Macaca fascicularis: one gene and its partners. The protein of the gene in region 2 interacts with the protein of the main gene of each other region in a pairwise test. Links are inferred from orthologs where the notes say so. Each region holds a gene or a part of one and is shown on either strand. Other genes may lie near its edges. The genes, in order: CSTPP1, PNMA5, RAD23B, CCDC102B, TBC1D22B, PRKAA1 and NTAQ1.

What was found.
Region 1: the proteins of PNMA5 (region 2) and CSTPP1 interact in binary tests that used the Homo sapiens proteins (3 or more experiments, as listed by UniProt). The two-hybrid records come from large-scale screens. The link is inferred for Macaca fascicularis from reciprocal best matches to the Homo sapiens genes PNMA5 and CSTPP1.
Region 3: the proteins of PNMA5 (region 2) and RAD23B interact in binary tests that used the Homo sapiens proteins (3 or more experiments, as listed by UniProt). The two-hybrid records come from large-scale screens. The link is inferred for Macaca fascicularis from reciprocal best matches to the Homo sapiens genes PNMA5 and RAD23B.
Region 4: the proteins of PNMA5 (region 2) and CCDC102B interact in binary tests that used the Homo sapiens proteins (3 or more experiments, as listed by UniProt). The two-hybrid records come from large-scale screens. The link is inferred for Macaca fascicularis from reciprocal best matches to the Homo sapiens genes PNMA5 and CCDC102B.
Region 5: the proteins of PNMA5 (region 2) and TBC1D22B interact in binary tests that used the Homo sapiens proteins (3 or more experiments, as listed by UniProt). The link is inferred for Macaca fascicularis from reciprocal best matches to the Homo sapiens genes PNMA5 and TBC1D22B.
Region 6: the proteins of PNMA5 (region 2) and PRKAA1 interact in binary tests that used the Homo sapiens proteins (3 or more experiments, as listed by UniProt). The two-hybrid records come from large-scale screens. The link is inferred for Macaca fascicularis from reciprocal best matches to the Homo sapiens genes PNMA5 and PRKAA1.
Region 7: the proteins of PNMA5 (region 2) and NTAQ1 interact in binary tests that used the Homo sapiens proteins (3 or more experiments, as listed by UniProt). The two-hybrid records come from large-scale screens. The link is inferred for Macaca fascicularis from reciprocal best matches to the Homo sapiens genes PNMA5 and NTAQ1.

The regions. Positions count from the first base shown.
Region 1 is NC_088388.1:18,908,257-18,912,490, forward strand, and holds the start of CSTPP1 (centriolar satellite-associated tubulin polyglutamylase complex regulator 1), read right to left. Parts: upstream 2,801-4,234; 5' UTR 2,722-2,800; coding exon 2,676-2,721; intron 1-2,675. UniProt on the Homo sapiens protein: Regulator of the tubulin polyglutamylase complex (TPGC) that controls cytoskeletal organization, nuclear shape, and cilium disassembly by balancing microtubule and actin assembly.
Region 2 is NC_088395.1:159,084,105-159,088,040, forward strand, and holds the start of PNMA5 (paraneoplastic antigen-like protein 5), read right to left. Parts: upstream 2,801-3,936; 5' UTR 2,503-2,800; exon of another isoform or gene 2,489-2,502; intron 2,309-2,488; 5' UTR 2,187-2,308; coding exon 840-2,186; 3' UTR 1-839.
Region 3 is NC_088389.1:50,796,609-50,800,108, forward strand, and holds part of RAD23B (UV excision repair protein RAD23 homolog B), read right to left. Parts: coding exon 3,419-3,500; intron 639-3,418; coding exon 503-638; intron 1-502. UniProt on the Homo sapiens protein: Multiubiquitin chain receptor involved in modulation of proteasomal degradation. Binds to polyubiquitin chains.
Region 4 is NC_088392.1:11,861,966-11,866,039, forward strand, and holds the start of CCDC102B (coiled-coil domain-containing protein 102B), read right to left. Parts: upstream 2,801-4,074; 5' UTR 2,699-2,800; exon of another isoform or gene 2,428-2,698; intron 1-2,427. UniProt on the Homo sapiens protein: During interphase, forms fibers at the proximal ends of centrioles to maintain centrosome cohesion. During mitosis, dissociates from the centrosome following phosphorylation to allow centrosome separation. Contributes to CROCC/rootletin filament formation.
Region 5 is NC_088378.1:134,396,958-134,400,926, reverse strand, and holds the start of TBC1D22B (TBC1 domain family member 22B), read left to right. Parts: upstream 1-1,169; 5' UTR 1,170-1,315; coding exon 1,316-1,371; intron 1,372-1,494; exon of another isoform or gene 1,495-1,626; intron 1,627-3,969. UniProt on the Homo sapiens protein: May act as a GTPase-activating protein for Rab family protein(s).
Region 6 is NC_088380.1:41,061,020-41,064,519, forward strand, and holds part of PRKAA1 (5'-AMP-activated protein kinase catalytic subunit alpha-1), read right to left. Parts: intron 3,081-3,500; coding exon 2,594-3,080; intron 2,483-2,593; coding exon 2,356-2,482; intron 862-2,355; coding exon 617-861; 3' UTR 1-616. UniProt on the Homo sapiens protein: Catalytic subunit of AMP-activated protein kinase (AMPK), an energy sensor protein kinase that plays a key role in regulating cellular energy metabolism.
Region 7 is NC_088382.1:133,061,078-133,065,346, reverse strand, and holds the start of NTAQ1 (protein N-terminal glutamine amidohydrolase), read right to left. Parts: upstream 2,801-4,269; 5' UTR 2,757-2,800; coding exon 2,674-2,756; intron 1-2,673. UniProt on the Homo sapiens protein: Mediates the side-chain deamidation of N-terminal glutamine residues to glutamate, an important step in N-end rule pathway of protein degradation.

The DNA of each region.
Region 1 (4,234 bases), on a different chromosome or scaffold from region 2:
GTGTGTGCATATATATATAATATATATATATATATGTTCATGTATATTTTTGTGTATATATAGCTTTCAAAGACCAACAGCCCTTAAACTTGGTAAAAAGACACTCGACTTCATTTAACAATACACATTAAATCTACTCTGAGACTATTTGTCACTTAGATTGAAAAAAATCCAAGTTTGATGTATTTTGTTGTCAGGACAGTGGGGAAACAGGCATTCTCTTTCATTGCTGGTGGCAAAATGGTATAACACTTATGAAGGGCAATCTGGCAATATCTATCAATACTTCAATGCATATGCCCTTGATCCACCAATTCCACTTTGTGGAACTTATTCTTGCCTGGCCTAAAAAATATTTTGAATCAAGTTTCCATATTACCAACCTTAAAAAATATTTTAAAATTAATTTTTAAAATAAATTAGACAAAATTTAAAACAGAGTTGTTTTTCATTTAAAAAGATGTTGGTCGGGCGCAGTGGCTCACCCCTGTAATCCCAGCAGTTTGGAAGGCCGAAGTGGGTGGATCGCCTGAGGTCAGGAGTTCAAGACCAGCCTGACCAACATGGAGAAACCCGTCACTACTAAAAATATAAAATGAGCCAGGCGTGGTGGCGCATGCCTGTAATCCCAGGTACTAGGTAGGCTGAGGCAGGAGAATCACTTGAACCTGGGAGGCGGAGGTTGTAGTGAGCCCAGATCGCGTCATTGCACTCCAGCCTAGGCAACAAGAGTGAAACTCCATCTCCAAAAAAAAAAAAAAAAAGAGATGTAAGCCAGGTGCAGTGACTCACACCTGTAATCTCAGCACTTTGGAAGGCCACAATAAGAGGCTTGCTTGAGCCCTGGAGTTCAAGACCAACCTGGACAACATAGTGAGACTCTTGCTCTACAAAAAATTAAAAAATTAACCAGGGATAGTGGCATGTGCCTGTAGTCCTAGCTACTTGGGAGGCTAAGGTAGGAAGATCACGTGAGACCAGAGGTCGAGGCTGCAGTGAGCCGTAATAGTGCCACTGCACTCCAGCCTGAGTGACAGTGCAAGACACTGTCTCAAAAAAAAAAAAAGAAGAAGAAAAAAAAAAGATGTGCATGGTACATCTATACAATGGAATTATTATTCAGCAATAAAAAGAAATGAGCTATCATGCCACAGAAAGACATAGAGGAAACTTAAATGCTTACTGCTAAGTTAAAGAAGCCCATCTGAAAAATTTACACACTGTATGACTCCAACTACATGATATTCTGGAAAAGGCAAAACTTTAGAGACAATAAGATCAGTGGTTGGCAAGGGCTGCAGGGGGAGGGAGAAGGATCAATAGGTGGAGCACAGAGGATTTTTTAGGACAGTGAAATTATTCTGTATAATGGAATGGTGAATACATGACATTACGCATTTATCAAAACCCACAGAACTGAACGACACAAAGAAGTAACCCTAATTATTATATATTATATATTATATGCAATAATAATACGTCCATATTAGTTTATCCAGTGTAACAAATGTACCACACTAATGCAAGACATAAATAATAGGGGAAACTGTGAGTGAGGGAGACCCAAGATATATGGGAACTCGCTGTACTATCTGCTCAATTTTCTGTAAACTTAAAACTTCTCGCACGTGCGGTGGCTCACTCCTGTAATCCCAGCACTTTGGGAGGCCTGAGGCGGGCGGATCACGAGGTCAGGAGATTGAGACCATCCTGGCTAACACGGTGAAACCCCATCTCTACTAAACACACAAAAAATTAGCGGGGCGAGGTGGCGGGCGCCTGTAGTCCCAGCTACTTGGGAGGCTGAGGCAGGAGAATGGCGTGAACCCCGGAGGCGGAGCTTGCAGTGGGCCGAGATAGCGCCACTGCACGCCAGCCTGGGCGGCAGAGTCAGACTCCTTCTCAAAAAAAAAAAAAAAAAGTGTATTGTGTGCATATGTGTGTGTGTACATATCCATGTGTATGTGTGCTTTTTTTCATTCATTAAATGCCTTACACACTAAAGATGCTCAAGAAAGTATACATATACAGTCTTAGCTCAAGAGCTAAGTCAGTATCTCAAGTTCTGTTGGAGTGGGCAAATCCGGTTCTGATCCTAGTGCTACCATTTTCTAGTTGTGTGGCCTAACTTACACAAGTTATCTCTTCAGCCCCAGTTTCTCCACCTGCAAAACTGGAAGAAAACACGGTAATTCCTCCTAGGGCAGTTGAGAAATTCAAATGAAGAATAATGCATGTAAAATGCTTAGCACAGTGCCTAATGAAAAAGAAAAGCTCGAAATGTTCGCTGTCGCCGCAATGGTAAGACAGTTACTCACGGAATGACTGATCTGGCACTTGAGGTTCCAAGGTTATTCTTACTACACTAACAGCAGGTCAATAATACCCCAACAGGGCCCCAAATCCTCAACTCCAACCTGACCCACTTTGAACCCAATCCACATTGCCTGAGTTCCAGCCCCTACACTTCAAACAATTCTTTACTTCCCAGGTGCTTTTCTCCTTCCTACTCGGCCTTACAGGTTCAGGCCCTAGAACCCCCGCCTCTCCGCCCCTCCCAATACCACCCGGACCCGATCCCACTCAGACCCGGCCCCCGCCCCCGCCTCCTCCCAGACCCCGGCCTAATTCGTCTGCACGTCTTTCCCTCCCCAAAGTTGAAGGGGGGTTCCTACCCAGATACTCGTAGTCCGGTAGGGCTAGGCGCTCCGGACTCAGCATCCTTTGACCGGGGTGGCTTCAAAGCTCCAGCTCTCAGACTTCCGGAACCCAGGTTGCAGTCTTTCTCCGTTGCCATGGCACCCACGCGGCGGAAAGGGGACGGGAGCTGGAGGAGGTGTCACACAAACAGTCTCCGTGTCTCAAAGTGGAGCTGGCCACTCAAGTTCCGGGGGCAGTCGCCTCACGACGGTCCAGGTTTCTTTGGACTCCCATTGTTAAAGATTTGGTTTTAGAGGAATCTGAGATGAAGAATTCTTTTGAATCCATTGTTTCCCGGTGTCGAAGAATTACTGTCAGCCGCCCATATACGCAGGTTCTGAATTTCATAAGTATCCCTGCTTTTATACACTGTTTATCCTAACTCAATAATAGCCCCCGCCCTTTGGCCCCCATAAACACTTAGTATCCCATTACCTATTTTTATCTCTTTGGTATTTACTATCTTAAATTGCTACAAAGTGCTTAGGTATCTTTATACCCTGGCTGCTTCTAGAGGTCAGAGATGTGTCTTTTCTGCCTACGACAGCTGGACACACAAAAGGTGCTCCTTAACGCCTCTGAGATAATTGCCATTTCTTCTCAATTCTCACTCCGTTGCCCAGGCTGGATTGCAGTGGCATGATCTCGGTTCCTTGCAACCAGCGCCTCCCGGGTTCAAATGGTTCTCCTGCCTCAGCCTCCCGAGTAGCTGGGATTACAGGCGCACGCCACTACGCCTGGCTAATTTTTTGTATTTTTAGTAGAGACGGGGGTTTCACCATGTTGGCCAGGCTGGTCTCGAACTCTTGACCTCAGGTGATCCGCCCGCCTCAGGCCTCCCAAAGTGCTGGGATTACAGGCGTGAGGCACTGCGGCCCGGCCTCAATTCCTTTTTATCTTTGGTTCTTCTTTCTATTCCTAGCCCTCACTATTTGGTACCCTTCCCAGATGTCTTTCCTTTTTCCTACCAAGACATTTCTCTTCTTGAGGGGGAGGGGATGCAGAAACGACATCACCAATTAGGTTTTTTTCCCCATATGCCCAATTGCTCACTTCTCCTTTAAGAGAATATTCTTTGGTTTTCAAGTTCCCAAATATTTTTTTGTCCTTTCCTACTCCTGACAACAGGTCAGAGATCTGTAGCACTCCACACAGTTCAGTCATAGCAGAAAAAGCCAGTCTGTCCTCACTTTTTTGGTGCCCTCCCCCTCCAACAAGGTGAGGTTTGTGAAAAAGAGACAAAGAAAACAAAATCAAGCTATCAAAGGAATGACTGGGAAACCAGTAGACCACCTACACTGGGAGGAAAAGGAAAGAGGAGGTTCTTCTCTTTGTGTTCCAAGTGGCCTATTCTTAGCCTCCTCCAGCAAGGAGCCTCAAACCTCCTAATTCTTGCTTTCCCTTAAAATTGTATATGTGTCTCAATTCTAGGCTCCTGTGAGTCACTCTAAGTTTGGATGTGGTGAGGATAAAAGGACAGAGCCAAAGTAGGAGCGGGGCTTAGTGTCTTGAGGCAAATTTACTAATTTGGTAT
Region 2 (3,936 bases):
CTACACCGGCAAAGCAGAGGTGGAGTTCTTGACACGGAACAGCAGTGAGCAGAGCCTGGGCCTGGTGATGACGCAAACCAAAAACAACTACCCACCCCCAACAAGTCCTCTCTTCTCACACTTCTTCCTCCTCCTTCCCCTCTTCCTCCTTCTCCTCCCCCTCTTCCTCCTCCTTTTCTTCCTGCCCCTCCTTATTCTCCTATTCCTCCTCCTGATCATCCTCTTCTTAATTCTCCTCCTCTTTCTCTTCCTCACTGGTGCAGGGGGTCATGAATGCTGCCTTCCTGGGGCTCCCCTCATGCAGTGTAAATGATCCTAAAGACGGGCTGGACCCTGCAGCCTCCCCTGCCGGGCTTCACTTCTCCCCCACAGCTCTTCCTCAGCAGCCCTGGCTCCTTCTGGCAGAGGCAGGCCCCAGGCAGGCTCCTCCAGGTCCCACATGGCCTGGGTGCCAGTGGGCATTCTCAGCTCAAAGTTCACAGGGTGGATATTTGGGGGTGTCCAGATGACCAGGCCAGAGCCCCCAGCCACACCGTCTTCAGCCCCTGCTTTGTTGGGGTCCCCATCTGAAGCCCAGCCACCCCCTGTGCTAAGTGTAGCTGTTCCCTGCTTGTGTCTCCTATACCTGTTAGGGGCCATGGGCCTGGCCCCCACTGAACCAGATGCTATTTGGTCTAGGTTGGTGAAGTCCCTTCCAGCTGGTGGAAAGTAAAGGGGCTTGATCTTGACCTGGCTTCCCTGTCCCTCTGCCCCAATCAAGTTCCCTGTTAGTGTAAGCTGCCCTTTGTTCAAATGTCCCTGCTGCCTGCCAGGGGAAGGAGTGCTTGGGTCTTCTGAGCCTATGTTTCCCAGGGCTTGGGATGGCTCATGGCCCCAGCCCCTGCCTCGTTTCCCGACTCCTCTCCTGCAGCCTGTGGCCCCTCCCTGCCTGGAGTCTGGTTTTCAGCCTTGGGATACATGGCCTGGCCATAGTCTTCTTCCCTAGTGCTTTCACTGCACGACAGCCGCCTGCGTTTCACTAATGGGGGTAAGCCTCCCTGTACAGTCTGGGTGCTGCTGTCGCTCAAAGACCTTGCCTGCACGGTGGCCTGAGGTGCAGAGGCACTGGCTTCTGCTCTTGCCTGTCTACCAGAGGCCCCCCGGCCTCTCCCTGATGGCTTCTCCTTATTCTTCATCACTGCCTCAGTGTTCTCCCACTCTTCTTCATCTCGAATAAGCTTCATTAACTCCAGAAAATTGGGAGGACACCCTCGCTGATCCAAGAGCTCCAGCTTGCCTCTGAGGGCGGGGGTCATGGAGACCCGAGCTAAGAGATGTTTCAGACGAATCATGTCTGCGCTGCGCACTGACAAGGGGCTCTTCTGCACTGCTTTCTGCAGCAGGGGCTCTAAGCGCAGCAGGAAAGTGGAGACTTTCTCTCCAATCTTCGGAAAGGTCTGCAGAAACTTAAACTGAGAGGCTCTGAAGTCCTCTTTATCCCCAAAGATCTGCTTTAAGGCGTCAAGGCACTGCTCCACAGTTATGGAGTCATTGTTGGCCTGGAGCACCCGCATGATTGACAGAGCAGGCCCTCGTAAGCTCTCCAGCAAACGCCGTCTCTTCTCCATCTCAGACACTTGCCATATGGGCATTATCTCGGTGACCTGCTCTAGCCAGTCTTCAAAGGTCTCTTCACCTGGGCTAGGGGAAGCAGTTCCCGAAAACACTTTCAGTTTCCGGTACCACATACTTTCTTTCAGAGGCTCTAAAGGTGGGGGTCTAACTTGGGGTACGACCTCTGCATCCAGGCTCTCGGCAGGGAGGCTGCAACATCCCAGGGCTCTGGCCACATCTGTCATACTTCGGCCCTCATCTTTCAGGAAGTAGTTCAGTCTAATGAGAAACTCGTCATCTGGGTTACGGGGTTTTACCACCACTTCCCAGGAGCCCCCCTTTCCTGGTATGTGACTAGGCAGAGTAGTGTAATCGACAGTGTCAGCCAATTCAATGAAGACTGCCTTGGCGTTGTCTTCCCTCCTGAACATTCTCCCTAGCACCCTGTATGCGCGCAGGGGCTGTAAGCCTGCCTGCACAGTGTCCTGAATTTCCATCTCACTACACTCCACGGGGATGCCTATGATCAGCAGGGCCTTTCTGGGGTCCATGTCCATCCCCTTGCACCAATCCTCTAGCAGTGTCAATGCCATTGCTCCCACTTTCTATGGACTGATCTAATACTAGGGCAGCAATCAGCTTAGTTTGACAGCACTCAAATAACTCTGAGCCACTGCCACGTAGGAAGGTAGAAGTGGTCCCAGGTTTCCACAGCCTGCAAAGCAAATGGGATGAGAGCATTGTTAATGCCTACCCCAACCTATACCCCCAAGCACCCCTCCTCTGCCCCCACCCCCGAGCAGGGATGGAGTCCCTTCTTCCCAGGGTTCCCCAAGTTATTTTGGGGAGGGTAGAGGGTGGAGGTTCTCCCCAGGCAAAGATCTCCTCATCTCACCACTCCCTGCTGACCTCCTCCTGCTGTGGGTTCCTCCTCGAAGTCCAGAGGACTCTGCTGTGTGTGCTTCGGGTATCTGTAGTGAAAAGGCCAAAGTCAGGAGGCAGGGCCTGACATCTGGGGACACTGACAAGCTCTCCAGGCGGAAGAGGGCAGGAGACGGCCTCACTGCTCACTCAGGGCTATGTGGGCTCAGGTCACCCAGCACCCTCCTTGCTGGAGTGAAGGCTGGCAGCAGGAGAGGTAGAATGGCCCTCTTTCTCAGGAATGCCTGACAGATGAGAAAGATGGCCGAGCTCTGCGCAATGCAATGAGAGTGGTGGGTGTGGAGATTGTGTGACAAGCTGCAGTGTTGCCATGGATACAGAGAATACCATGGACCATGGGTTGCTATTGCAGGGGAGTGTCATGTGGTAAGGCTAAGGTCCTTGAGAAGCAACAGGTGATGTCATTGGCCTCCAACCAATAAAGCTTCCCAGCAAAAAGGAGGGTGGGAGAGGGAAAGCGAGGTGGGCTTGAGGAGTGAGTGCTGAAAGGACAGGAGCTCATGGTTTCAATTGTGTGGAAGCTGAAATCAGGTAGAAAAGGGACCCTGATGAGGTCCCCACTGCCAGACTGCAGGAAACCAACAACTCTTGCCCTAGAGATGGCCCTACCCTGCAGAGTCTGTGAACGCTGGCAGGCAGTCCCCTCTCCACACTCTTTGCCGGGGTTCCAGAGACCCTCCCAACAGGGCCCACCTCACAGCTGCTCACCTTTCTGGGTTGGCCCTGCTGGCAGCGCAGATGCTGCAATAACACAGTCACTTCAGAGTCGCTCTGCTCTTCAACTCTATCCAATTAGGCAGTTCCTGACTCAGGCGTGATGGTTCCTGCTTCCCTGGATCTGTCCAAGGCAAAGCACAGGTATTTTGCTGTGATTCTGTCCCACACACATGTCCCTGCTCAGGCCATGCCAATTCAGATTCTGCATAGGTGTCCACTAGGACCCTGGTGCAGGGGTAGAAGAAACTGCTCAACTGGCAGAGGGAAGAGGAGGGGGGAAGGGGGGAGGGGTGGGGGGGAAGGAGGAGTGGGGGGAAGAATGGCGAGAGGGGTGGGAGGTGAGGAGGGAGGTGGGGGGCGGGGGGGCTGCTGCTAGGGCAGAAGGGATCCTAAGGTAAGGTTGCAGCCCCACCCCCACTGCAAACTTCATTCCCTCCCAAGCCCCACCCCTGCAGCCATGTTGCACCCCTTCCTAAGCCCCACCTCAAAACTTGCACGCCTGCTGCCAAACTCTGCCTACAACTAAGTTGCACCTCTACCCCAAGCCTAGCCCCCCACCAAGTCCAACTCCTTCCACCACCCAAGTCTAACTCCCGCCTCAAGCCCTGCCCTCACCCACAGTCCAACTCCTACCCCAAGCCCTGCCCCCTCACCAAGTCCAACTCCTACCTCCATGCAAGTCTA
Region 3 (3,500 bases), on a different chromosome or scaffold from region 2:
TAGCAATGTGTGGGTATGGTCAGTACCCCAGTAAGGAGACTTCAATTCAAGCTCTGCTTTCTCCTCTAGATACAAGGTTTGAAACCTCTCAAGGTCTCATTTCCTTGGTTGTATTAACTAGTGAAATCCTGCTGGCTTTGAAATTACATACACTTTGTAAAATTTATGGAGAGAGTTACGAGACAAAGTGAGCAAACCATTCTGAACAGCATCAGAAAGTAACACTAAATACAAACTGGAAAGCATCTTTTCCTTAAAACAAATAAAACAGAATATGCCCTCTGACAAAACTGCAACTGATGTTTAATATCAGCAAGGATACCTTTTACATCCACTTGGGAGACTTTCTTTTGGGCCTTTCTCAAACATTAGTGAAGAGAGAACTTAATGAATCATTCAGCTGCTCTGGGAATGAACCTCATTTCTGAAGTATTTCAGATTAAATCATTTTACAGTAAAAATTCAGGGCCATTCCTTCTCCATCCAAAAGATTCCACTTTACCTCCAGAACTTGTTGTTGTTGTCGTTGCTGTCGTAGTTGCTGCAGCTGCAGCCACTGCTGAAGACTGAGGAGCCCCAGTACTAGCTGCTTGAGGGGGGTCAACCACAGCCTGACTTTCTCTATCTCCAGGGATTCCCTATAACAGAATTTCCAAGCTTTAAGATATCCCTTCAGGCAAAATTTAATATTATACAGAGTAAAAGATTTATAGTCTATTTAACATCTTGTCTGATTTTCAAAAGCATCAAACAGACGTCTGCTTCAATTAAAAGTAAAGGATTATTAAGCTGCATGGATTAAAATTAGATTAGAAATGACCTGTGTGCATTATAGAAAAACCCACATTGCTGTAATAATGCAAAGCAGCACTGTCCAGCAGAACTTTCCATGATGATGGAAATTTTCCCTGTGTTGTCCAATAAGATGCCTACCAGGCACACGTAATTGGCGTCAAATTTGAAAAATACTGATACATGTACCTTCTTAAAACTGAACATAACCAAAGGTTTTTGTGCCAGCTATTACTTCAGTTGACTTTTTAACTTCTTAGAAATCTTCATCAGCTGTTACTCAGTAACAAAAAGGATTGAATTTGCAACCCGGGCTTAAGATAATCCAAAAAAAGAGTTTTTGATGCACACTTGACAGTTCTGAAATGATTCCTGGGGAAAAAATATCTAATGGATACAGACCAGGTATACAGCGGTCAGGCAGGAGGATCTCCTCTACTGATCCATGGTACTGAGTAAGTGTCACTCAGAAAGTATCTCATAAATTTGACATACTTTTGAATAAAGCGTTTCTTTGAGAAAGTGTCAAAGTATCTCATAAATATGAGCTACTCAAGTATTTCCAAAAATTTAATTTTTCAAAATGCACAAAATTGATCTAAAATAAACTGAAACCATTTAGTTTTTAGGTGATGCCTTTTGTAAGTTTATAGTACTTATCTTTTAAAGTTATTAAGAGCTTAAAACTGCATGCACTAAAATATTTTGGGACATCTATTTTGATGCACATGTGTTGATAAGACTTGTCATTTAAAAATTTAAAAAAGTCTTTATCAAGTTCTTATAGATTTTGAAAAGAAGAGAATAAAGAACCAAGTATTACAATTGAATAAGATGATAAATGCTTCCATTTCCTAATAAGCTAGAAGCCAAAAGCAACAACATATAAAGGATGAAGGGCAACACAGCAGGAAAATGGCTGCATGCATTAGATGTCACTCCAGGCATTAAAACCAATGTTTTTGAATGAGTTCATCATTTCAAACCCTTAACTTAGATGGTCAGTTATTTAAGTGCTAACAAACTACATACAAATTTAGGATCCAGAGGGTCCATCAAATTCTGTTTTATAAAACTAAAAAGTTAATCTTCATTGCTACAGATCAACCTCTATTCTCACACATGTTACATAGCCTCTTATTAGATAAGTGCTCAACATTTCTTCTTTCCACCCATTCACCTTATCTGTTAACTAGTAACAGTTAAAGGCAACTTTTCCCCTCCAGTCTATGAAACAAACAGCAAACATATAAAAAACATTTTAGTTATAAAATGTTTGATGAACTCATGACTCATCTATTTATTTGCATTTGATGCTATACAGCAGTTTTAGCATTTGGCAACTTTGGTAACAATGATTCTTTTTTTTTATACCTCAAAACTCCACATCCATTAGATCACAATAACTGATACCGTTGAACTTATGCAGAATTCTAAATCAAGTGTAAATGAAAGCCACTCCATAAAAGCTAATACTTTTATACAATCTGTTTAGGGTATGCACCCCTCACCAAACAAATTCACAACAATTAATTCCAGAATTCCAAACAAACTGGATAAACTGCCAGCATTTAAAGACACTACTCAAGAAGACAATGAAAAAGTGAATTTAAAAAGATAAAATAATATGCTAAGAAAAGGTTTTGTGAACTTCACATCCAAATGCATGGGCAAATAAATGGTGGAGGCCGAGTACAGTTATGAGGCTTATAACTGACTCTTCTGAAACTAGCCAGCTACCTGAAAGGAATTTTTAACAGAAGTACAACTTAGACACAAAGGACAACCTAGACATAATGGAATGGGTTAAACTGTGGATTAATTGCCAAAAGAGTTAACTCTAAGATACAAAAAGAGCAACTCTAAGATGGTATTTAGGGCAATTCAGACTTCGATAATACTCCAAAACAGCAGACAATTATAGAATAGAAGATTTCTTAAAAGTTAATTCAATTACTTTAGCCTGTGTCACATCTGTAAAACTAGCAGACTTTCATCTTAATACCAAGTGTTTCAGTCAATGTCCACAACAATCTATTTCTCAAAAACTCCCATTACCGGTAAAAAAAGAAAACCTTATTCAAAAAGTCCCTCAACTCCTACTGACTATAAAAACAAATTCAAATGCTAACGGAACCAGGTAAGTAACATCATTCGTTAAATGCGTGATGTTACATTGGTAACAGAGTGAATCAGAGGATAATGAATTAGATTCTATGATCTAAAATATTTTCCTTAATCCCTTGCAAAAATCTGGGATCCAAAGTTGTCCAGATAAACCAGAAATCTGTACTTATATGTGAAATTTCCCAGATTTTAAAAAGCTGGCAACTTATTACAGATATATACATAGTATAAGCAAAAGAATTTGGCCCGAATTCTCAAGCTTAAAATGTTTGTTCTTAATAATTCATGCACAGTGGTACCTAAAAAGCTACTACAATGCTGGACCACTATATTAAAAAAGGTTACATTTTATTAACACAAAATACAAACATACTAGAAAAAAAAGCACTGTGTATCATCTAGCATATATCATACAGGTGAAGTGGTCCTTTAAAATCTGTTTCTTTGAGATTTTGATCTTAAACAACTAGAATGAAGTAAAGTAAAACACGTTTCTCACCATTAAAAGATACTCCACTGCTCTGTCAGGGTTGTTGAAACTGGCTCTCAGGGCTGCAATTACTTGCTCTCGTTCATAGCCC
Region 4 (4,074 bases), on a different chromosome or scaffold from region 2:
ATGAAGAAAAACATGTTAATAAATAAGATCTATTCTTTTTTACTTTGAATATACTGTATTTTACACTATCTATTACAATGTGAATTTTATATATGCTTTTCACCCATTGAAATGAAACTTATACAATGCCTTTACTTGATAATAACTTGGTGATTCCATAGTTTTAAGACTATTTGGTCGCTGTGTGTTTGTTGATATCACATATCAAAAAGAAACAGAGGAAAGTCAGTGCATCCCCAGTGTCATTCCTGGCCACCTCACATGTCTCATTTGTGAATAGGTAGTATTCAATGCAAATCAGTGATGACATTTTCTCTGAGAATGCAAAAGATAATCTTCTCTAAGTAGATTTAAGAAAATGTAGGAGATAGAAAAGCATAAGTGTTGAATATGAGAGCAGCTAATTTAAATGTAAAAATTACCCCTTATTTGCAGTGTCAGTCTCTCTTCTCTCAATTCCCAAAGGAAATGCGTGGCCCAACTGACAGAATGGTGATTGGTCTGGATTTATAGAATATTGGAATGGATCTTTGGACTGTTGTCTCACTGCCTCCTCCCTGCACCCTATAATCCCGATGTCCACTTCAAACCATTCTGCTTGACTTCTGCCAGATTCACATTCCTAGAATACCAGTACAGCATAGTGGAAATAGCGCTGGAGCCAGAAATACATCTGAAATTCTGGTTCCCTCACTATCTTTATCTGTGGCTTTCAGCAAATCATTGAACATTTCTGAACATCAGGTTCCTTCATGTGCAAAATGAAAATAATGTGTAAAATATTGTTCATTTTATTGCATAGTTATAAAAATTGTGGATATGTATGTAAATCATCTTGCATGCAGCAACTGCTATTATGTATTGGCAAAATGATGATGATGATGGTGATGGTAATGATGATGAAAAGAGGCACAGAAACTCCATCTCTTTTCAGAAACTTGCAATTGGACCCTTTGTATGATATGTAAAGACCAAATTTTTCTGTGTGAAATGTTAAGATGCTCTATAAATTTTTCCTGCTCTATGTATTGAGTACAATGTCTGCTACTCACAAAGGCATATTTTTTCTGCTCCAATCAATGAATTACTCACCGTTCTTTTGTGCTATGTGCTAATTCATGTTCAAAACCCTTTTTGCCAATTACTTGTTCAAAGTAGAGTATTCCTCTTGCTTTCAGCACCTATCCAAGTTCTACTAGTTTTTCAACACTCAGTTCAAGAAGTTGAACTTTTCTTTAAAGGCTCTGGCATCTCTTTAGGACTGATATACCTGCTAAAAAGGGAATTTCTGAATATTTTGGCATTATGGCAGAATTCAATTGGTCTTGTAATATCAGCATAAGAGATATGATGACCTGAGATCATTTTTTGTATTTTAAGAATTACAGCCATAGTTTTGTGGCTCTAATAATTAGATAAAACAATCATAAATTATTTTGAAGCCACGCCCATAGTGAGGCCCAAAAACTATGTCCCAGTGATCAAGCAATTATTGACTCCAATGATAACATATGAAGTATGCAAAAGAGAGACAATGAAATGATCTATGATTTCATAAGAACATATGAGATTTTGGAAAATAAAGCAATTCACATAAAGCATTTTTCTGAATATTTTCAAATACATCACACAAACCTACATAGATACTGTGTCACTAACTTATAAATATTTCTCTCTAATTTATTGTTTTCATTAAAATATGAAATAGAATTCAGGAATATTTACTGGATATATAAGAATATTTATTGTCAATAACATATTTTACTAACAAGAGAATATTTACTCAAAAGTTGTAATAACACTATTTCCCACAAAAATGATAGCAAAAACACATTCACATTATTTTAGAAAACAGAAAAGCTGGCATTGATGTAAATAAGAACATCAATAAATACTTTATATATTTTGGTGCCTATGTTACTGACATATTTCTAATTACATTTTTAAAGAATCTTTCTTATATTGAATAAATGTACCCACTTGACACTCAATTGATAATTTATCTTTGCAGAAAACATAAGCAAATGCTTCTCGATGGTTTCCAGAGATTTTTTTCAGTTTTACAATTTATTTCTATATAACTAAACATCATTGTTATTATGCACAGGATTTTATTAGTTTATTCTGTATCCCTATCTCCTCCACATTATACACGTAACACGTAAAGAAATCAATATTCGTGCTAAGTTTGAAATATACTTTCCATTAATGAATACAATAATTTAGCATGAAGACTCAACAAATGAAAAGAACTCAAGGCACATGAGGCATAGATAGAAAGGTTTTCATAACACTTTTACTTTTTTACTGTAAGAATATAGATTCCTTCAAACACAATGACTAATTCACATTCATTTGGAACTATGAAACAAAATTTTAATATCAACATACACTATTGCTGTCTAAATGTAGAGTTGAAATTCTTACCTGAGTTTGGCTTAGTATACAGTTATTTTTTAAAGACAGGAAATGTATGACAAATTGTCAGGATGATAACACCCACAGTGGAAAAATGAAAGAGGAAAGGAAGAAATCACTTTAAAAAGAAACTCCAAATCCTTCTGCTTCCCAGCTCTACAGTAGTTTTGCTCTGCATCTTGTAAGCAACTGTCTTTGCTCCGAGAACAACACATGCTCTGCCTCAGCAGGAAAATATAAAAATTAAATAGAAAACCACAAGGTTATTAAACACTCTTACCCTCTGGGCTTGCTGGGCTGCTCCAGCGTCTCAGTTGCAGCCACATGTGTAAACAACAGAATTTCCTGCATCCTTTTCTCATCTGTACAGTTCTGGAGTCCTAGCCAACAGGATTATTTCCAGCATTAAGGGCACTCCACACAAACTCAAAAAAGATTCCCATTGGTTGTGAAATTTTATTGAAACCACTACCACAACCCCCTCTTTGGATCACCATTGAGCCAACCAAAATAAAATCATTTTTAATGTTCCCTAAGTATGGTTATCCAAAGCTTTCCATGCAAGCATTTGAAACCTGTACTGTGGATGAAAAAGAAAAAGACACCCACGCCTTCATCCCCAAGTGTACTTAATGTTTAATTACAACAGTATAACTTGTAATAATAATAGAAAAAACTAAAATAGCAAAGCAAAATAAAAGCCTAGAAAGTACCTATCTGCAAAATATTTAAAATAATTATACTGCAGATTACAAGAACAATATAAAATATTCATCCAATCTGATTTGCATTAGATTGCACAAAATCAAAAGCAAAAGAAATCATATTTAATAAAAGATTTGAGTATACAAATTATGAAACAAGAACTGTATATCAAAACCCTTGATCGTGGTCACATTGGCAGGAATGTGAGCTGTAGTCCCTGGGGTGCCCAGTGAAAGCTCCCTGGCTTTTTCCCCTTTCCCTGGGGAAAAAGAATATGAAGTAGCTTTCCAGTGACATGACTCGGCTGTCAGGAGGTGTTCTGATGGGGGTTGTCGGGGGAGGTCAAAGACCGCATAAAAGAGAGCTTCTGTGGTTGAAACTAGCAGTAAAAAATGTCCAAAGTAGAAAATAAAAAGTCAAAAGGTAACAGGATTGACTTGCTCCTTGTAAGTAGCACAAAAACAACATGTGAAATGTAGGCAATAATGTCTTCAAATTGTTTTATTTTTCACCCTTCCCTAATTTGTAGGCTTATTCTGGTGTTATCGTCTATCTCTACTTAATATTCTTTTCCCACTTACTTTCTGATGCAATGGAAAAAGTGGCCAGCTTCCTATATAAAGCCAACTGACCCATTCGAGCTAAACTTAATCATGATTCTCGCTCCTCTATCTTTGAACATTCCCTCTTGTCCGGATTTTCCCCACGAGATGTTAAATCCCATACATTCCTTGGTCAATTTCATGTATGCCGATGAACTTTACTTTCAATTCAGTCATTTTCACTTTCAGGTACCATTCCTTCCATCATGGCCAAATGATTGAAAGTTCTCCAGCCAAGAATTTTATTTAGTCTTGCATCCATCTGATTTTAATTCATCAAAGTGACTACACACACATACACACACACACACACACACACACACACACATGCATGCACATAAATATTCTA
Region 5 (3,969 bases), on a different chromosome or scaffold from region 2:
TCCTATAATTCTAAAATTAGGGGACAAAAGAAGCTTGAAAATGGGAGTAATGTAGAAACCGTCGTTGGAGGACATACCCGTCGGGGGTCGGGTCTTTATGTATTCTCCAATATGTGGAAGTACATGTGGTAGCTGTAAATGGAGGGTGGCGGGGGAGTGGGGGACACGCAGCCCACCTCAACAGTCCTTCGATGGGACAAAAACCACTCTGGACTGGTGCCCGCTTTCCCTCTCTCCCCAAATCACCACGGAATACAACCACAGAAACTCAAAAACAGCAAAAAACACCGACAAGACATTCAAAGGATTCAAAATGCTAATATTAAATCTCATTGTCTGGGAAAATTAGATTGAAAATAAATTCAAGGGTGCAAGATTTATAACAGATTAACAAGGGAAATTAAGGATGTTGGTGGGGCCGGGAGGAGATACATCCTTAACTTTGTGATTCACACGATGGAGCTATACTGTGTCCTTCAAAGAAATCGTATTTGGTAATCTGAGTTGGACAGCTATGATAAACCATTTCCTATACACCGTTAGCATAGTCAGAAAGTGAGAGTTATGGATTGACATAGGGATTAGATCATTTGAATTTTTCACCCACAGCACAAGTCCTTCAATCGTTTTCAATAAACAGAGGGAGAGGGAGACTCTGATGAACCGTTGCTCACGTGTTGAGCAGTTAGCAATCCCGGGCTATCGGGTCCCTGCTGACCTTCAGAAAAACGAATGGACATCTAAACGGAACGAGGAAGGGAGGGTAATAACCAGAGTGTCATTGAGTTGAGAGATGTTAAAAATGGGCCACAACAAACACATGGGCCTTTACTTTTAGGTCAAATATTCCTATATATAAATACATAGTATGCTCTCTCTTGCCAAAAAATATTAGACTCAGGAACTTCATTCCTCACGAAGAAGATAATCCCCTCTCTTCCTTCCCATAGGTCCCTTACTTTACCTGCTTCTTCCCTCTTGCGGGTTAGGAACTTTGAGCCCCACCTCTCTGCTCGTCCAAGCTCCGCCTTCCCCGTCCACCTGTGTGCCCAGACCCTGACGTTACCCGTTGGCTTCAGCGGCCTGCAGGATTCCGGCTCCCGATTGGTCGGCCCGTCCACGGCTTGCGCAGCCCACCAATGGCAGCGGTGCTGGGTGGAGGGGTGCCCACATCCAAGATGGCGTCCCTAGGAGCTGGGAGCGGGTGACCGGCGGCGGGGAAGCGGCCTGGGTTGGCCCTCAGATTGCGGGGTCTGGGGGCATCTCGCCAGGCAACCCCTTGGCCCGCCTACAAGGCCTTCCCCCTGCCAGAGCAATGGCCGCTGACAACAGCAAGCAGTTTTGGAAGAGGAGCGCTAAGCTGCCGGGGAGGTGAGCCCAGGACGCTGAGAGGGAGAGGGTATTGGACCAAACCCTTCCAGATCCTAATCCCTAAATCCCGCGGCCCTGGGGCGCCACCGAGGCCGGAAGACTGGTTTGGGGCAGCTGTCAGGCAGAGGAGCGAACAGCGAGCTTTGGGGACGGCTGGATGTGGGTGTAGACCGGGGTCTGGGGGCGGAGGTTTCTGGAGGGGTGACCTCAGCGAGAAGGTGGCCGAAGATTGGGCGTAAAGGGGAGTGGAGTTGGGTGAGTAGTCAGTGTCGGCCCTGGTCTCGGGGGTTCCTCCCCAGAGCTGCTTCCCACTCTAATTAGGACTCCCTCTCAGGGGTCTCCACCACGCACAGGTGGTTGGTCGCTCGAGGATGGCTTGCTCCCCCAGCTCGGCACTTACCCGAAGGGTTCTTGTGGGAGTTTGGGGTCGCCTGCCGAGAGGGTTAGGCAGGAAAAGTGAGGACAATTCTCAACTCCGACCTTACTTTATCTTGAGTTGGCCTTTCCCACTGGGAATTATTACAAGGCGACCACAGAATCAGGTTATTCCTTTGGCATTTTCTAAGGATTTGTCCAACCCCAAGTGACTTCTTCCTCCCCTGTATTGTAATGCACTTCTTGTGCAAATGCACTAAATTCTTTCATTCTTCAGTTGTTTAGCTGGAGAGCAGACCTCCTAAGACTACTCCCACCCTCTTTGTGGTGTATGTTGAGACTTTTGGCAAATTATCCATTCATCAGTCTACTGTTGGTTTACTGTTTCAGTTTATTTTGGGCAAAGTCCTGAGAAGTATAAGGAAGAGTGTGTATTTCAGTCGTGAATCTAAGATTTCTGCCAGCCACAGTCTACTTGGTGATGAAATTCATGTTTGGTTGTGCCCCACGTGCTACCTTTTCTAATGGATTCAGGTTTTTTCTTTCTGGGATGATCTTTTGAACTCGTGACTTTTTTTTTTTTTTTTTTAAGCAAGAGGGAGATGAGGGTCAATAGTGGCTAAGTTAGAGCCTTACTTTTTTTTTTTCCCCCCAATGAAATAGAAATAAGGTCTGACTATGTTTGGGCTGGTCTGTAACTCCTCGCCTCAAGTGATCCTCTTGCCTTGGCCTCCCAAAGTGTTGGGATTGTGGGCGTTAGCCACCATGCCCCACCAAGAGTCTTGTTTTATTAAGGATCCTAGTAGACATATGGAAAATAGGTGGAAATCAGCTTTTAGTAATACTTATTAAATAATAGAAAGATAACTTCAGATTAAAGTGCTGCGGACTTGCGGTGTTGATATAACTGTTAAAGATGTTCTGTGTTTTTAGGTAAGCACCACTTCCTGCCAACTGATTCCTTTTCCTTCCTGGTTTAGTGAGCTCTCTAGTTGTGCTAACTGCTATTCTCCGGGGTTTTCCATAGTGAGATCATTAAATTTTGACATCCTAAGATTATAATCAGAATCAATAGGAAGACAGTTGTATCAGGAAGCAGTGCAAGAGATGTGCTTCTGTGCCTTCTGACTGGTGGTTGCTATTAACAATCTTTTTTTCCTGTATTTCCTGTATTTGACTATAAGAACAGTCAACTTTTTTAAAGCACTACTTTTCTGAGATAGGAAGAGAAGTCTTTTCAGTTTCTTCAAGCTTCTGGATTCCCTTTTCATTTCGAAGAATATAGAGAAATAGAGAACTTTTGAGTTCAGAAAGACTTGGGTTACTATTTGGGCTCTCCTGTGTGTGTGACCAAGACAAATAATCTATCTAGGCCTCAGTTTCCTTATCTATGAAATGAGAAATAAAAATACCTTCCTCAGAGTTACTGTGGGGACTAAGTGAAATACCCTATTTGTAAAGAACCTAGGACAGTGTTTATTTAGCACATTATAGTTGCTCAGAAGACAGTAGTTATTAATATTACTGTCATTATTAGAGCAAGTAAACATTTAAAAGAATGTTACTCAGATCCTTACCCCAGCTCATTGTCTTCCTTGTTTGTTTTAAGGTATTCAAATATTGTCACAATTCATAATAATTTTTAGTACCTTACTTGGTAAAGAGAAATATTTTTCAGCTGTGTGCTTTTAGCAGTAAAGCCCACAAGCCTCTGGTCGTGGGAGAAAACTAAGGTTCTTTTAGATAGAAAGGTACTTTGATTTAAAGAAAATATTAGAGCATTTTCTCAAGAATAGAACTTTTGCATCTGTACTCTTTCGGTCTTAGGGAAGAAAAACTTTCTCCTGGGTGGGGAAATGACACAAATGACTGTACTAGACGCATGGCAACTTGGAAATGAAACTGCTTTACTCTTCATTGCAAATTGAAAGGTGAAAAATCAAAGCGATGACAAGATTCTTTCTGTCTGATCATGATCCAACAACCTTAGTGACAACAAATAAAAATTTTATTACATAAAATAACAAGTTACAAATGAATGAAACGTTCTTTTTAAAAATAACAGCTTTATTGAGATATTAATATACCATGAAATTCATTCTTTTAAAGTGTACATTTCAGTGGTATTTAGTATATTCATTTATAGTACAGATGGTTTTGTGCAACTATCGCCACTAATTTCAAAACATTTTCATCATCCCGAAAAGAAACTACATACCTGTT
Region 6 (3,500 bases), on a different chromosome or scaffold from region 2:
GTGGTGGCACGCGCCTGTAGTTCCAGCTACTCAGGAAGCTGAGGCGGGAGAATCACTTGAACCCGGGAGGCGGAGACTCCAGCCTGGGTGACAGAGTGAGACTCTGTCTCAAAAAAACAAAGAGGGAGGGATATGGAAGAAGTTATCTAGACTGTTAGTACTGCTGGAAGATACTAGCTATTTAAGAAGTTAAGGAGCCCAGAAAACAAAATCACCTATAAAGGTCTTGAGAATTCTAGGCAAATATTTATTGAATAAATTTATGAAGCAAATATATAACATGTAATAATATATGAAGGCCTTTATGTAAATTAATATTTTCAAAGCCCTGTGTACACTAAATATAAAATAGCCAAAAATCAGGTGAGCCTGAGAGACCTATAATTCACTGTGTATATTATGCTATATACGTACTGCACAATGAACAAAATGATCTTAATTCATTTCTGCATATTAGCTTTTAACTATAAATCATGTTCCAATCCCTGTGCAAATTGCATTTCAAAACGCCAGCCCTCAGTTATAATTATGTATAACTTGATTACAAATGGAAGCATTTGGCTATGACTTATTATGCATGCTTATTGCTACAAAAGAAATAAGCAAAGTTTTCTGTTTATTGTGCAAGAATTTTAATTAGATTTGCACACATCTCAAAAAATTCTATTGTGTGACTTCCAGGTCTTGGAGTTAGGTCAACAGGAGAAGAGTCAAGTGAGGTCACAGATGAGGTAAGAGAAACTTCTGAGGATTTTCCTTGAGCCTCAGCATCTGAATCACTCCTTTGGCAAGATCGATAGTTGCTAACTGATCCCGATCTCTGTGGAGTAGCAGTCCCTGATTTGGCTTCTGTAATTTCATCTGGGTAAAAAGAATTTCAATTTATTATAGTCTATGACCTTCTCCCAAAAAGTTTTGTAACAGTATTGTATTTGCTTCTTTAAGTGGGGCTGCTGGCCAGCTATCAAGAGCACGTTTATTCTAAATACCTTCTAAAATAGAGTCAATGAGCCTGTATTAAACTATTCACCTTTTTTACATTCAGTATGTATTCTCAAGATGGCTAATCAAAGTTGGGTACAGTATAGCTACTCATCAGCTGCAATCCAAGGTTAAGAGCCCAGTAAACCAACAATCTAGGGATTAATAAATATTATTCTATAGCAATAAAATGTAATCCCTCTATACTAAAATCATAGAATCAATGCACTTCAAATTTGGGAGGTATACTCGAAACCATCTCATCCAACCCCTCACTTTATTGATAAGACAACCAGAGAAGTGACTTGCCCAAGGTAACAAATGAACAAAAAGGTAAGTCTAGAACCCAACTCTCCCAATGCTCGGCTTAGTACTTTTTACTTTCCACTTTCCCTTCATATTTCATTTAGTATTTCATAAAACAGCAACAATTCCAATGAATAAAAATCAAAGAACAACTAAGGTTGGGAACACAATACAAAAACAAAAATGGGCATTCAACTGGTATACCCCAGTACTAGTAAAACTAAGGTTGCAAATTTGATCCAAATACAAGAAAAATAAAACACATTCTGTGTTTCAGATTTCAGACTGCATTACTATATGTTAGCAGATACATACTATATAGACCTCAAGATAACCAGACAAACTGGTTTGGCCAACATATCATGCCTCAAACCTGTGTCTTTCTGCTACTATGTGTATACTATCTTTTAGTTTATAAAGAAGAAAAAATTTCATAGGTGAACCTCATCTAATAATTCTATGCAACCTTCCATAAGCAAAGGTGATACTATATATATTGTTTTTTTAATATTTTGTAAAGACACAGTGTCACTATGTTGCTAAGGCTGGTCTCAAATTCCTGGGCTCAAGCAATCCTCCCACTTCAGCCTCCCAAAGTGCTGGGCTGTTTATAGGCATGAGCCACCACACCTATGCTCAACACTGTAGCTTAATGCAACTGAATTGGCCGATGAAGAATTGCCGTAACTTCATTCTTAACTGAAAATTTATTTAATAATAAATAAAAGCTTACAGAAGAGTCAATATTTATTTCTAAATAAAACATTTATCTTACCAAAATGAACTACACCAAAAAAACAAATGCAGCAGAAAACTATCACCTTAGGATCAGACTTCACCTGGCTTTAAGGATTTTACAAGATGATAATCTTAAAAGGACAATATGCTATAAGACTACAATAATAAGATTCATAAATGTTAATATTGCAAAGGCACAAGAAGTCACATTTTCTATTCCTTTGCAGTTGAATTACTAGGAACAAGTCAAGAAGCCTCAAAAGAATCAAAGAGTAAAATATCAAGTTAGTAACAATGTCTAATCTATGTTGTTTTGTGTGACGTACATACCATCAATACTACGGAAATCCAGTAGATAAGTTCTACTATCCACCTGGTATAACTGTAGACTCATTTTGGAGTAAGTGCTTGTCACAGGATTCTTCCTTCGTACACGCAAATAATATGGGTTTACAACCTAGCACATGGTATAACAAAAACCAAGTCAAAAGTAATTCTTCTATAAAACATTTTATAGATGGTGGGTTTGCCAAATATGCTAATAATCAAAATGTTATCTCTTTCTTACCTTCCATTCATAATCCAATTGTTTAATTGCTCTACATACTTCTGCCATAATATCATTTGGACGACTTTGACTTCTAATTCCTAAATGCCATTTTGCTTTCCTTACACCTTGGTGTTTGGATTTCTGCGGATTTAATTCATCAAGGGTATGGCGTGCCCTTGGTGTTTCAGCAACCAAGAATGGTACTCTTTCAGGATGGGGCCGAGACAGGTGATGATCATCAAGAAAAGAATCAGGTGGGCTTGTCGCCAAATAGAAATCTTTGGCTTCATTCATTATTCTCCTGTTATCTATTATGAGATGGTATGCAACTGCCAAAGGATCCTGGTGATTTCTGTTATAAAGACAGCTGAGAACTTCCTCTTCTGAGCACTCAAACTTTTCACATACTTCTTTTAAGGCTTCATCGTCAATCATGGTTGAACTATATGATGGATCCTCAGGAAAGAGATACTTTGGAAGGTCCTGTTTAAACCATTCATGTTCCCTGAGAGAAAAAGGCAGGATCAGGAGAATGATTTTGAATACAGCTGAGACTGAAAGTAAGTTTGGGGAATTTAGAATATGACCTAATTTATATTTATACTCATACTGTATTACTGTCACTTTTTGCACTGAAATTTTCCTCTTCTAGCTCGCACTTCATTGTGTATGTTGAGGAAAATGCTCCAATCTCCCTCTGGTTTTAAGAGAGAGAATGCACTGATGTAGCAATGGGGGGAAAAAGTTATGGGACAAATGACAATGACAATGACAAAGAACAGCTTATTTCCAGCTTAGAAAGAGAACATATTAGGTAGCTTCATTATAATACTCTTTTGATATGTTAAGTGAAAATAATGTAACAACAAAAATAGTAGACAACTATTGAGTACTTACTATATGCTAAGTTTTATGCTAAACACTT
Region 7 (4,269 bases), on a different chromosome or scaffold from region 2:
CCCAAACAAATACCAACTGCCACTATTATCATTAAGCAGGGTCTTGAAGCATAAGTAACATCTGGAAGCTAACATGACAGAAGCTAACAGAAGTAGACAGGAGGCACTCATTTCAAGTTTAAAAACCTGCAGGATGGCCAGGCATGGTGACTCATGCCTGTAATCCCAGAACTTTGGGAGGCCGAGGCGGGTGGATCACCTGAGGTCAGGAGTTTGAGACCAGCCCGGCCACTGTGGTGAAACCTCATCTCTACTAAAAATACAAAAATGAGCCGGGCATGGTGGTGGGTGCCTGTAGTCCCAGCTACTCGGGAGGCTGAGGCAGGAGAATGGCTTGAGCCTGGGAGGCAGAGGTTGCAGTGAGCCGAGATGGCACCACTGCACTCCAGCCTGGGTGATAGACTGAGACTCCGTCTCAAAAATAAAAAAACCCCACAAAGCTGCAGGAGCCAAAGTAGTGCAGTGCCCCCACCTGACATGTTCAGACAGGGTAGAGCACTGTTTCTCAGCAAAAGGCGATTTTGCCCCCCAAGCCCTACAGGACACTTAGCAATGTCTGGAGACATTTTTGGTTGTCACAACTAGAGCTAGGGTGCTAACAGCATCTAGTGGGTAGAGGCCAGGGACGCTGCTACATGTCCTGCAATACACAGGACAGCCCCCATAGCAAAGAATTATCATGCTCAAAATGTCAACTCGAACCTAGGCGGAGAAATCCTGCGGTAGAGTGGTCAACTCTTACCATTCTTCTACAAGACTGCTCTAACTCTGATACTCCAATTGTACCAGTCTCCTCACTGTTTCTATCATACAGCACAATTCCTTCTCAGAGCCTTTGTACCTGCTGTTCTCCCTGCTTAAATGACCATCCTCCAATAGATGCAAAGCTCTCACCCTCTTTTTTCAGATCTCTGTTCAAATATCACCTTATCAACAATGTCTTCTCAAAATATCCTAATAGAAAATAAGCCACCATCCTTTATCTTATTTTTCTCACAGCACTTAACACCACCCAAACATGGTTTACTTGTTTTTGTCTGCCTTTTTTTTTGAGATGGAATCTCGCTCTGTTTCCCAGGCTGGAGTGCAGTGGCATCGGCTCACAGGAATCTCCTCCTCCCGGGTTCAAGCGATTCTCCTGCCTCAGCTTCCCGAGTAGCTGGGATTACAGGCGTGTGCCACCACACCTGGCTAATTTTTGTATTTTTAGTAGAGGCAGCCTTTCTGCATGTTGGCCAGCCTGGTCTCAAACTCCTGGCCTCAAGTGATCCGCCCACCTCAGCCTCCCAAAGTGCTGGAATTACAGGCGTGAGCCATCGCACCGGACCTTATCTGCTTTTCTCTCATCAAAACACAAGAACCAAGGGATCCATGAGTGAATTTGTCGATCTTGTTCACTGCTGTATCTCCAGTGCCCAGAAGTGGGCCACATACTCCAAGTGCCTAATACACATTTATTGAATGAATGAATAAAACAATGGACATTAGGGAGGAGAACTAACGGGATTTAGAAGAGGCAGGACAGAAAAAGAGTGCAGCAGTTAAGATGCATGAACTTCAAAATCACGAAGATGTTCCAGTTTCAGCACCACCACTTGCTAGATGTGTGATTTGGGGGCACACAACAGCCTCTCTGTGGCTCACTCTTTTTATTAGTAAAATGAGGATAACGATAGTAAAAGAAGCTACTCATGGACATCGATGGAAGCACCTGCCACTGAGCCTGACATGCAATCAGGGCCGAACAAATGCTCGGTGGCATTGATTTAGTGACAAGCAGAAGGGGGAAGGGTAGTTTTAGATAGCACTGAGGGTTCCTGTGCAAGGACTAGAAGCTGGGGGAGAAACCATTACTCAGGAAAGAGTAGGCATGGGAATGAAAAAGGACCAAGGCAGGGGCGGTGCTTCAGCTGCAGAGGTGGCCTAGGACAGGGGTGCAGAGCATGGACTCCGGGGCCAGACTCTGCCTGTAAATCCCCACTCCTTCATTCACAAGTGATGTGGCCCTGCGCAAATTACTTGCAGCCCTCTGTGCTTCAGTGCTCTCATCTTTAAACTGGGGATAACAATACCTACCTCTTAGGGTTATTGTGATACTCAGTGATTTAGTTTACCTAAACCACCCAGAACAACGCGTGGCATATAGCAAGTGCTGTGTGAATGTAACCATTATTATAATGACAACATGGTTAAGATCATGGTTTCTGGTGCCAGAGAGCCCGAACTGGATTCCTGGCTGCTATTAGCTGGGTGACCTTGGGAAGTTATCCCAAACTCTCTGTGCTTCCATTCTCTTCCAAAATTAAAATGACCTTCGCCTCAGTCTGAAACCCCACATGCTTCAGCAGAGTAACTTCCAAAGGTTTTCAGAGCTCCACCCTTCCTAGCCCCGAAGCAGAGATCTGCTGAGCAAATCCAACCGACAAGCGCCAGGCACAGGTAATGCACTATCGACCCTAGGATTCCGGACGAATTCCCAACCCCATCCAACAGCCCACGCTCTACTCAAGAGACAAGAGCTGCCATTCCCGCTCCCTACTCCCGCAGAACTGTAGAACCCGCCGGTAGAGGCCGGGAGCGCCCCCGAGCAGGGGCCGGGAAGAGGCGGGGCCTGGTTGCAACTCGCGGCCCGGGAGCCTGGGAGACCCAGAGGCTGCGCCCGCGCCCCCTCACCAGTAGCAGCTGCTGTAGACACAGGCGTCCCGCGGGGGACTGGCCGGCTGGTAGTGGACGGCAGTGGGGCCATTACCCTCCATGGCCAGCTAGCTCGGCCAGCGCCGACGCCGGAGGAAGACCGACTGGACCACACGTAGGAAAGGGCGGGCGTGTAGCGGCCCGCGCGGGCTCTCAGGGCGGGGTGGGAGGAGCCCGGGGCGGCCGGGACAGTTTCCGGGCGGTGGGGCCAGGAGCGCGGTGGGCGGGGCTCGCAGCACGAGTTCTCAGCGCGGGAAGCCCGGGACGAAATGGGCAGAGCTCGGGCAAGCGGCGCCAGTTCCTGGGAAGGTGGAGCCCAAGCGAAGTGGGCGGGTCCGGGGTGGGGTGAGCGGCGAGAGCTCCCGGTGGGCGGAGCCCGGGACGAGGAGGACTGCGTGCTTCCGGGTAGGCGGAGCCCGGCTGGTGGGTGGAGCCCGGGGTGGGGCAGGACTGGAGGCTTGGGCTCTCGTGGGCGGAGTCAGGGGCGGGGCCCCGGTGAGGTTTGGGAGAAGAGGGGTCTTTGGCGGCGGCTTAGGGTGGAGCTAGGTTTGGGCTTGGAGTTGGGCCCTGAATAGCGCTTCGCTGTGAATCTCCCGGGGAGGCTCTTCCAACTTGGGGCTGAGCTTCTGCGCTGTGGAGAAGCCAGGTGAGACACTGAAATAACAGAGGTTTGGGTGTGAAAATCCACACTTCAGCACTCAGCCTGGAGTCCGCGGGAGCCCAGAGAAGAGGAGGGGAGTGGAGGTTAATTCCAATATGACCGCATCGAGGACGCTTTCCGAAAGGGATAGCACCCCAAATCTCACTCTATTGTAACTTAATCTTTTAAATTGGAAGACCTATATCTATTGGCTCGAAAAGATATATTAATTTCCTGATATAGTAAATTTGAAAAAAAAAGTTTAAAGAGTCCATATGGTATCCTTTTTGTGTTAATCATGTGTTTGTTCATTTACTGGCAGTCTGGAAGAAAAGACACCATATTGTTAAAATAGTATTTAGGGCCGGGCGCCGTGGCTCAGGCCTTTAATCCCAGCACTTGGTAAGGCCGAGGCGGGTGGATCACGAGGTCAGGAGTTCGAGACCAGCCTGGCCAAAATGGTGAAACTCCGTCTCTACTAAAAATACAAAAATTAGCTGGGCGTGGAGGCGCGCGCCTGTAGTCCCAGACACTCGGGAGGCTGAGGCAGGAGAATCGCTTGAACCCGGGAGGCGGAGGTTGCAGTAAGCCAAGATAGTGCCATTGCACTCCAGCCTGGTCGACAGAGCAAGACTCCGTCTCAAAAAAAGAAAAAAAATAGAATTTATCTATGGTGAATGAATAGTATTAATATCAGGGACTTTCAGTTTCAAGGACTTTACACTTTACAGTCTTCTGAATTGTTTCTATTTGCAATGAGGATAACTCGCTAATCAGGGTACTTCCCATTATAAAAACTGAGATGTTTACATTGATTTTAGCCATCCACAGTCTGATTTTCCAATCTCTTGAGTCCCAAAGCCGATAAATCCTAAAGACTTTGAGCCCAGTTCCTGTGTCAATTACCAATTTTATTGCCTCTCAGCTCCTAATAC